Sus scrofa: one gene and its partner. Each later gene encodes a partner of the first gene's protein in a complex. Links are inferred from orthologs where the notes say so. Each region holds a gene or a part of one and is shown in the gene's direction. Other genes may lie near its edges.

Region 1 (3,511 bases):
TTGATCTGATTTAAAATTTAAAAAACTCCTTCAGGCTGCTCAGGATTATAGACCATCGGAAAGCAAGTGAGGAAGCAGGAAGACCAGTTAGAAGGCTGTTGCGTTGGTAAGAGATGACCGCAGAATGGATAGGATGGTGGGAGTAGAGGCAGGGCAAGGTGGGTATGATGTCTTTTAAGTCAGGGCTTTCTGATGGATTGGATACGGGGTTTGAGGGAGATCAATCAGTCAAGGAGGATGCTTAGGTTTGGGGTCTGAGCAATTGGAGAAATGGTAACATTCATCATGATAGGAACGACTATAGGGAGCATGTTTGTGAGGGGAAGGTTATCAAGGTTGCCGTTCTGGACATGTTGATTTTGAGATGCCCTCAAAGATGTCTAAGAGAGGATGTCAGTTAAGCAGGTAGGTACAGGAGTGTGGAGATCAAGAAGGAAGCTAGGTATGATATAAATTGGCCAGAGTTGAGAAGATAATTGAAGTACTTGGTCAGATGAGATCCCATGGGAAGTTGAGGGTGAAAATAAAAGGCTTAAAACTGCTCGACATTTAGAGGTCAGCATTAGGAAGCAGAGCCAGCAAAAAGACTGGAAGGAATGGCTGGTAAGGCAAGAGGAAACCCGGGAGGGCTTGATGTCCTGAAATACGCATGAAGAAGTACTTCAGGGAGGAAGTAATGCCTTGTATTGAATGCCGAGGGCGGCTGGACTGAGCTGCGGCTGCTGGATTTAGGACTGTGGAGTTTGCTGGTGATCTCAATGTGCTATTTCTTGGAATAATGGAGACAAAAGCATGAATGTTAAATGAGTGTGTTAAGGACAGTACCAGTCAACTGAACACTCAGCCTTCAAAGGCCTTCTGTATCTTCAGCATTTAGCAAGAGTTTTCCTTTTGAAAGTTCCTTCTTTAAGTGAATCTCTTGATGTTATCTATAAAGTTAATAAAATGTTCTCTACTTTGAGTAAATGCTGTAACACATTGCAGAAAAGTAGTCGTTTTCATGGCCCAGAGCATGAGTTTTGGAAACAAGATCAGAGCCTTGGTTGAATCCCAGCTCTCCTACTTTCTAGCTGTGTAATTTCAAGCAGGAATGTCAGTAATTTACCTGTACAATTGGAAGTAATTATCAGCCTCTTAGCGTGGGTCTAAAGAGCAGCAGCTCTTTACCACTTGTTCTCTCATCACTTGGCAAGTCAGAAGGCAGCTTGAGGGTAAAGGGCCCTAGGGGACTTAAACCTCTGTCTCTCCAGCTTTGTGTTCCTGCTAGTTCTGACTCTTGCACCCGGCCTATTTACATAAGCCCACTCTCTATTGACAGTATGCTGTCTTTTCTCTCTCTCCAGCTCCTGTCTTCTAAAGAGTTTACATTTCATACAAACCATTCAACAGAATTAGCTCTTCTCGTTACTAGGTTACTTTTTTTAAGTCAAGCCCAGCTGCCCCTCCCCATCCTGAATCTCTCCCATGGCAGCCCTCTCCTCATCCATCAGCATTAGGGATTCTCTCAGTGGGCTGTTCCCACCGCTTTTCTGGCTTAAAACCCTCAGGCCTAAGAATGCGGCTGCTTTGATGATTTATTCAACAGCCTAGAGCAGATCATTTGCAGATTTTCCCCTAAATGCAAACCCCTCTTGCTTGAGGCATATAGGACACATGAAAATACAGTTAACATACAGGACAGGCTTCCATTGGTGCAGAGAGAAATGGTAAAGGAGCAGATGTTAAGTTACTCTTTACTATTTGTGTAACTTTGGACAGATCGCGTTACCTAACTGAGCTTTAGTTCCTTCATCTGCAAAATGAAGTTAATGGTACCTGACTTAACTGGTTGTTTTAAGGTTTAAATAAAGTAATAATGAACATAAAGCAACAAGAGTGCCTGGCTCTTGGTAAATACTCAGAAAATGCTACTTTTCCCCCCGATCCCCCTTGTTTCTGAGCTGCCATCTTATCCAACTTTCTTTTCAGATTGTCCCCAAAGCTTTTGTGTCATCTTTGACATCTTGTTATTCATTCCTTTTATCTGATTAGTAGGTATTTATTATTATTACTTCCTACAGGAAGTATTATATAGTCATCGCTTCACCTTAGGCTTTACTGTCAGTATTCAGGTTCTGTTCATTTGTTTATTTTAACGCTTATTTGTTAGCTTTCCTAATGCATCAAAGATATGATTTTAGAAAAGTTTGTTGTTGGTTGGCTTTTGAATTCATAGTTTACAAGGATTTCTCTCAATTCATAGTGGCTCTTGCTTGAGTTCTACAGTAGATTTAAAAAAAAAAAAAAGAGGGAGTTCCCGTCGTGGCACAGTGATTAACAAATCCAACTAGGAACCATGAGGTTGTGGGTTTGATCCCTGGCCTCACTCAGTGGGTTGAGGATCCGGTGTTGCCGTGAGCTGTGATGTAGGTCACAGACATGGCTCGGATCCCGTGTGGCTGTGGCTGTGGTGTAGGCCAGCAGCTATAGCTCTGATTAGACCCCTAGCCTAGGAACCTCCATATGCCGAGGGTACAGCCCTAAAAATACAAAAAAAAAAAAAAAAAATCTATTTAATGAAGATCACTTTTGGGAGGGCCATTGTCCTCTAATGCCTTGTCTAGTTCATTTCTCTTTTGCTCCATGGATGGCCCATGTTTCTGCTAAGCTCTTCTCTGTACACAATCTACCCTAACCTATGCTTCACCCACACTGGGCCTCTACTTCTCCTAGACAGGGTGGCTTTCCTAAACCATTGATCTTGTTTGTTCAAGCCTGACATAGAGTTACTTAGCTAGAGCTATGAAGGCAGTGTCCTCCAACCCAATCCAGCTGACCAATGTTTTTACCCTCATTCACCACACTAAGTATAGACTTGATCAGTTCTCTTGGTTTTAAATCCAAGCCTCACTTCAAATTTTTATACTTAATCACTCTATCTGCCCACCATAGTGTAACATTTGAAACTTCTGCCAACTCAGCAAAGGGTTTTTGAATTGTATATACTACAGGTTTCTACAGCACTGAAACAAGGCCAAATTACTCCAACTGAGCTCTGTCAAAAGTGTCTCTCCCTTATTAAGAAGACCAAGTTTCTAAATGCTTACATTACTGTATCAGAAGAGGTGGCCTTAAAGCAAGCTGAAGAATCAGAGAAAAGATATAAGGAAGGTAAATTCCTTTGAATTACAATTGTTATATCCCAAGAGAAAGAATTTAATTGGATGTAGCAGTTTCCATTTGGCAAGTGGAGCTTTATTTTATTTATTTATTTATGGCTGCAGCATGCAGTGGCTTGAGGTGGGATCTCAGTTCCTAGACCAGGGATTGAGCCTTGGCCACGGCAGTGAAAGCACCGAGTCTCAACTCCTATACCACCAGGGAATTCCCAGCAAGTGGAGCTTTAAACATAAAAAACATTTCCCTATTATTTATTTATTTGTATTTTTAGGGCCACACCTGCAGCATATGGGAGTTCCCAGGCTAGGGGTTGAAACAGAGCTGCAGCTACCAGCCTTCACCACAGCAACGT
Region 2 (4,171 bases), on another chromosome or scaffold:
CCCAAATAATCCCATCATTTAGCACACGAGTTCCTGGTGAGATGCCAAAGCCAGAAATCTAAGCAGAGTGATGGCTCATCATCTTTTACAAGTGAAAGAAAAATATCAGGAAGGAAACTCCTCCCTCCTAAACTCATCAAATAGATCCGCTATCTTCATCACTTTAATTGACACAATCCAGGGTCTTCAATTTCCCGATTTGAGGAGTCCATTTTCAAGGTGACTGTCAAGGTCAAGAAGAGCTTTCAGGCTTTTCTTTGCCATGGCCCATGAACTCCAGTCCTTCAATGGGAATTTCCTTCTCCTTTATTGCTTTCTGATGGGAGAAAACAAATGCTAAAGATCTACATGAAGCCTGAGGACCAAGTTTTATCAATATGATGGTACAAAGTCAATCTGACTGGACCAAACAAACCCCATACTTTTGAACATAAGTGAGATTAAGTGTAAGATGAGAGAGACTGGAAAGAGTTGTGTCATCAAAATTCAGAAGTGGAATTTTAAACAGTATCACCACTCTTGTGACAGATACAAGTTAAATCAGTTCCAGGACTTAAGTAACTGAGCAAGCCTCACTTTCCTAAGTGGGAGAAAGCAACTCCACATGGAATTAATTGCTTAAGTTTTTAAACTAACTGTGAGTGCCTTGCCCAGGGCTGTTGTTACAATTCAAAGCAGTTTCACATTCTTTGAGCTGGAATAAAAATTTGCTAGCTAGAGAGATAAAACAGACCAATGGAGGGGTAATAACAACGAAACAGACTCTCCATAATATCTTAACAGGCCAGAAGGCTAACACTCGGTCTCGATCCGCAGCAACTATGGAAAATACACAGTTCAGGAAACTTGATCCCAGACTAATCACTTCCTATTTCTGGTTGCGAGTGTTCCACGCCTACAATGCAAGTAACTATGCCCACTTTGCAAGTTTAGGTTGCGCATAAACCAAAGAATGTTAATGGGCTCCGTAAAAAGTAAAGCGCAGCAAAAAATATTTAACTTTGTCATTCGGAGAGATATCAGGTGACCTTGGTGGTGACGGTAGAGAACTCCTGCCATTAGTCTCATCGAGGCTTTCCCTCGCCCTGTCCACCCTCACCCCTCAAGATAAGATGGCCCAGGACACCGCAGAGAGAAGCCGGGGCCTGGGGTAGAGGCGAAGGGGCCCGGGCAGCGCTCACCTGAACACATTGCTGGTAGCGTTTGAAGAGGTCAGTGCACGGGTCACCGGAGCCCTCCCCCTTGAGGAACTTCTCGGCAAACCAACGATTGAAGCACTGGTCGTACTCGCGCTTCATGTCCGTGCAACCCTCCCCTACGCTGTTCATGGCGTCGGCGACAGCGGCGGTGACGGCGCTCTCGGATGTCATCACTTTTAAGCGCGTCGCTCGGCTTTACGAGAGGACGCACTACGGAGGCCGAGCAGGAGAGAAATGTGGGCGCGGGCTGTGTGGCTCGGCCTTCGGGCCTCGGCGGGCGCGTTCCGGGGCTTCACCTCCAAGGCGGATCTTCAGGTAAAGGCCGGAGCGTCTAGTCCTTGCTAAAGCCGGGCGGGAGGCGGAGCAGACCCCATCCATGACCCACGCCCTCCTCATTGCCCCAGGGAAGTGGCCGGATTACGGCCGAGCTGGTGGAACATTTGGAGCGACTAGCGCTTGTGGACTTCGGCAACCAAGAGGCCGTGGCGCGGCTGGAGAAAGCCATTGCCTTCGCCGACCGGCTCCGCGACGTGGACACGGACGGGGTGGAGCCCATGGACTCAGTCCTGGAGGACAGGTAAGCTCGCTCGCGGCGGTAGAGATTAGTGTCCCAATTCATAGAGGGGAAAAGAGCCTTAGGGAGATGCGAGAACTTGCCCACGGTCACCCCGCGAGTAAGTACTTTCACTCTTTACCTTGTTCGTTGGGGATCCTTTCCCTCCTTTTTATTTATTTTTGGCCGCCCCCGCGGCATGTTGAATTTCCCCGGGGTTAGAACCCGGCGGCAGTTTCGACCTGCATCAGAGCTGGGATAACGCCGGATCCTTAACCCCTTGCACCACAGGGGAATTTACAGTCACTCCCAGGGTAACTAGGAACGAAATCCGAACTGCGAAGCTTGACTTTCGAGGCCCGATTTAAGAATCCCTTCCTATCACTCCGACGTACTGCTTTTATCACTCTAACCACATTGGTTTCATTACTGTTTCTCCACACTCCAGATTCGTTTCTCCTCTAGAGTCTTTGCGCTTGCCATTCCTTTTGTGGATAGTCTGTCTCCTTGGCGTGTTTTAGCCTTTCCTGACCACTTCAAATACCTCACACCTTCCCGTCACTAACTCCTTATCCTGTGGATTTTCTTCTAATATTTTTCTTGATTATCTTATTTTCGTTGATTCGTAATATTTGTTACTAGAATGTGAGTTCATGTCTGACTTATTACTGTTGGATTCCCGTATCAAAATTTTTTAATGACCATATTTTCTGATCTAGTGGCTTCCTATGGAAGTATTTTTGAAAGTGCATCAAGATGTTTGCACAAGTATGCAATTCTGTTTATAATACAAAACAACAGAAAAGAAGCAAAATGCCCCAGAAACAATCTAAGTGTCCTTCATGACTAAATACATCATCATACACTGGAATATTTGGCAGTTAAAAATAATGAGGAGTTCTGATTGTGGCTCAGCAGGTTGCAAACCCAACTAGTGTTCATGAGGATGCTGGTTTGACCCCTGGCCTTGCTCAGTGGGTTAAAGATCTGGCGTTGCTGTGAGGTGTGGTGTATGTATGTAGGTCTCAGACATGGCTCAGATCCCAAATTGCTGTGGCTGTGGCTGTGGCTGTAGCATAGGCCAGCAGCTGCAGCTCCAATTTGACCCCTAGCCTGGGAACTTTCATATGCCACGAGTGCAACCCTAAAAAGCAACCCCCCCCCCAAAAAAAGCCACAAAAAACCAAAAAGAACCCCCAAATGTCTAAGAGGGCAGAGTAGTAACAATAATCCAAATGATGAAATAGTGTAATGCAATGGGAGGGCAGGTCTTTGACAAAAGGGTGCAGCCTCTACCCACCTCTACCAATTTTGCCAAATCTTAATATATTTTTAAATAAGATGTTCTTTTGGAGGTGTTTTCATTTTTTTGTTTTTTTGTCTTTTTTTTTAGGCCCTCTCCCATGGCATATGGAGGTTCCCAGGCTAGGGGTTGAATGAGAGCTGTAGCTGCTGGCCTACACTATACCCACAGCAACACCAGATCCAAGCCTTGTCTGCAATCTGCACCACAGCTCACGGCAACACTGGATTCTTAACTCACTGAGCGAGGCCAGGCATTGAACCCACATCCTCACAGATACTAGTTGGATTTGTTCCTGCTGTGCCACAGTGGGAACTCCCATTAATTCTAATACATGTTGATCTATTTCAAGCAGATTCCTTTTTGCTTTGGAAGTTGGTTAATTTTTCTGGTTATATCAGTTAAGTTTTCCTTGACATTATCATCTGGTTCATGATTTTCCATCTTGAGCCTTACACTCTCCATCCCATAGTCACTGCCTCTGGGTCTTCTTCAGCCATGCTAAGGTTCACTCCAACCTTTGCTCAACTTGGCTAGGTGCAGCCATCCTTGGCTGTCATGTGACACCTGAAGTGGGTCAAAGATGTTCTTTTTCAAAAAGCAGACTTATTTGCTGTTTGGGACTGCAGCTTGTTAGGAATAATGCATATGTAGCTTATAAAGACAGGAGCAGTCTACAGCTGTCCTATCCTTTTCCTGATGGAATTTTAAAAAATAAACTCCTGGTAGAGGAGAAAGATTAGTTCCCTTTAGTCAGTACCATTAGGGAGAACCACACCTATCAGAAACCATAACCTTCATGTAAAGTGCTTGCTAGCCTCACGTTCTCACTTGTATTTGATTCCTTCAAATCCTCTATTTTGTAATCTGATGCTTAAATCTAGGGAGGTTAGCCACTTTGCCCAAAGTTTTTTTTTTTTCTTTTATTTTTTCTTCACCTGCAGCATATGGAAGTTCCCAGGCTAGGAGGTGAATTGGAGTTGCAGCTGAGGCCTACCCCACAGCCACAGCAATGCTGGATCCAAGCCTCATCTATCTGACCAGTGCCACAGGTTCCAGCAGCACCAGATCCTCAATCCACTGAGCCAGGCCAGGGACTGAACCTGCAGCCTCAGG

Evidence for each region. Proteins that work in one complex are often made in the same cells at the same time.
Region 2: QRSL1 (region 1) and GATC share a complex: the UniProt entries of both Homo sapiens proteins name them as parts of the heterotrimeric GatCAB amidotransferase (AdT) complex. The link is inferred for Sus scrofa from reciprocal best matches to the Homo sapiens genes QRSL1 and GATC.

What each region holds. Positions count from the first base shown.
Region 1 is NC_010443.5:72,818,598-72,822,108, forward strand, and holds part of QRSL1 (glutamyl-tRNA(Gln) amidotransferase subunit A, mitochondrial), read left to right. Parts: intron 1-2,990; coding exon 2,991-3,150; intron 3,151-3,511. UniProt on the Homo sapiens protein: Allows the formation of correctly charged Gln-tRNA(Gln) through the transamidation of misacylated Glu-tRNA(Gln) in the mitochondria. The reaction takes place in the presence of glutamine and ATP through an activated gamma-phospho-Glu-tRNA(Gln).
Region 2 is NC_010456.5:40,412,595-40,416,765, forward strand, and holds the start of GATC (glutamyl-tRNA(Gln) amidotransferase subunit C, mitochondrial), read left to right. Parts: upstream 1-1,370; 5' UTR 1,371-1,433; coding exon 1,434-1,514; exon of another isoform or gene 1,515-1,603; coding exon 1,604-1,776; exon of another isoform or gene 1,777-2,906; intron 2,907-4,171. Other genes in the region: TRIAP1 (TP53-regulated inhibitor of apoptosis 1), read right to left, coding at 233-316, 1,182-1,370. UniProt on the Homo sapiens protein: Allows the formation of correctly charged Gln-tRNA(Gln) through the transamidation of misacylated Glu-tRNA(Gln) in the mitochondria. The reaction takes place in the presence of glutamine and ATP through an activated gamma-phospho-Glu-tRNA(Gln).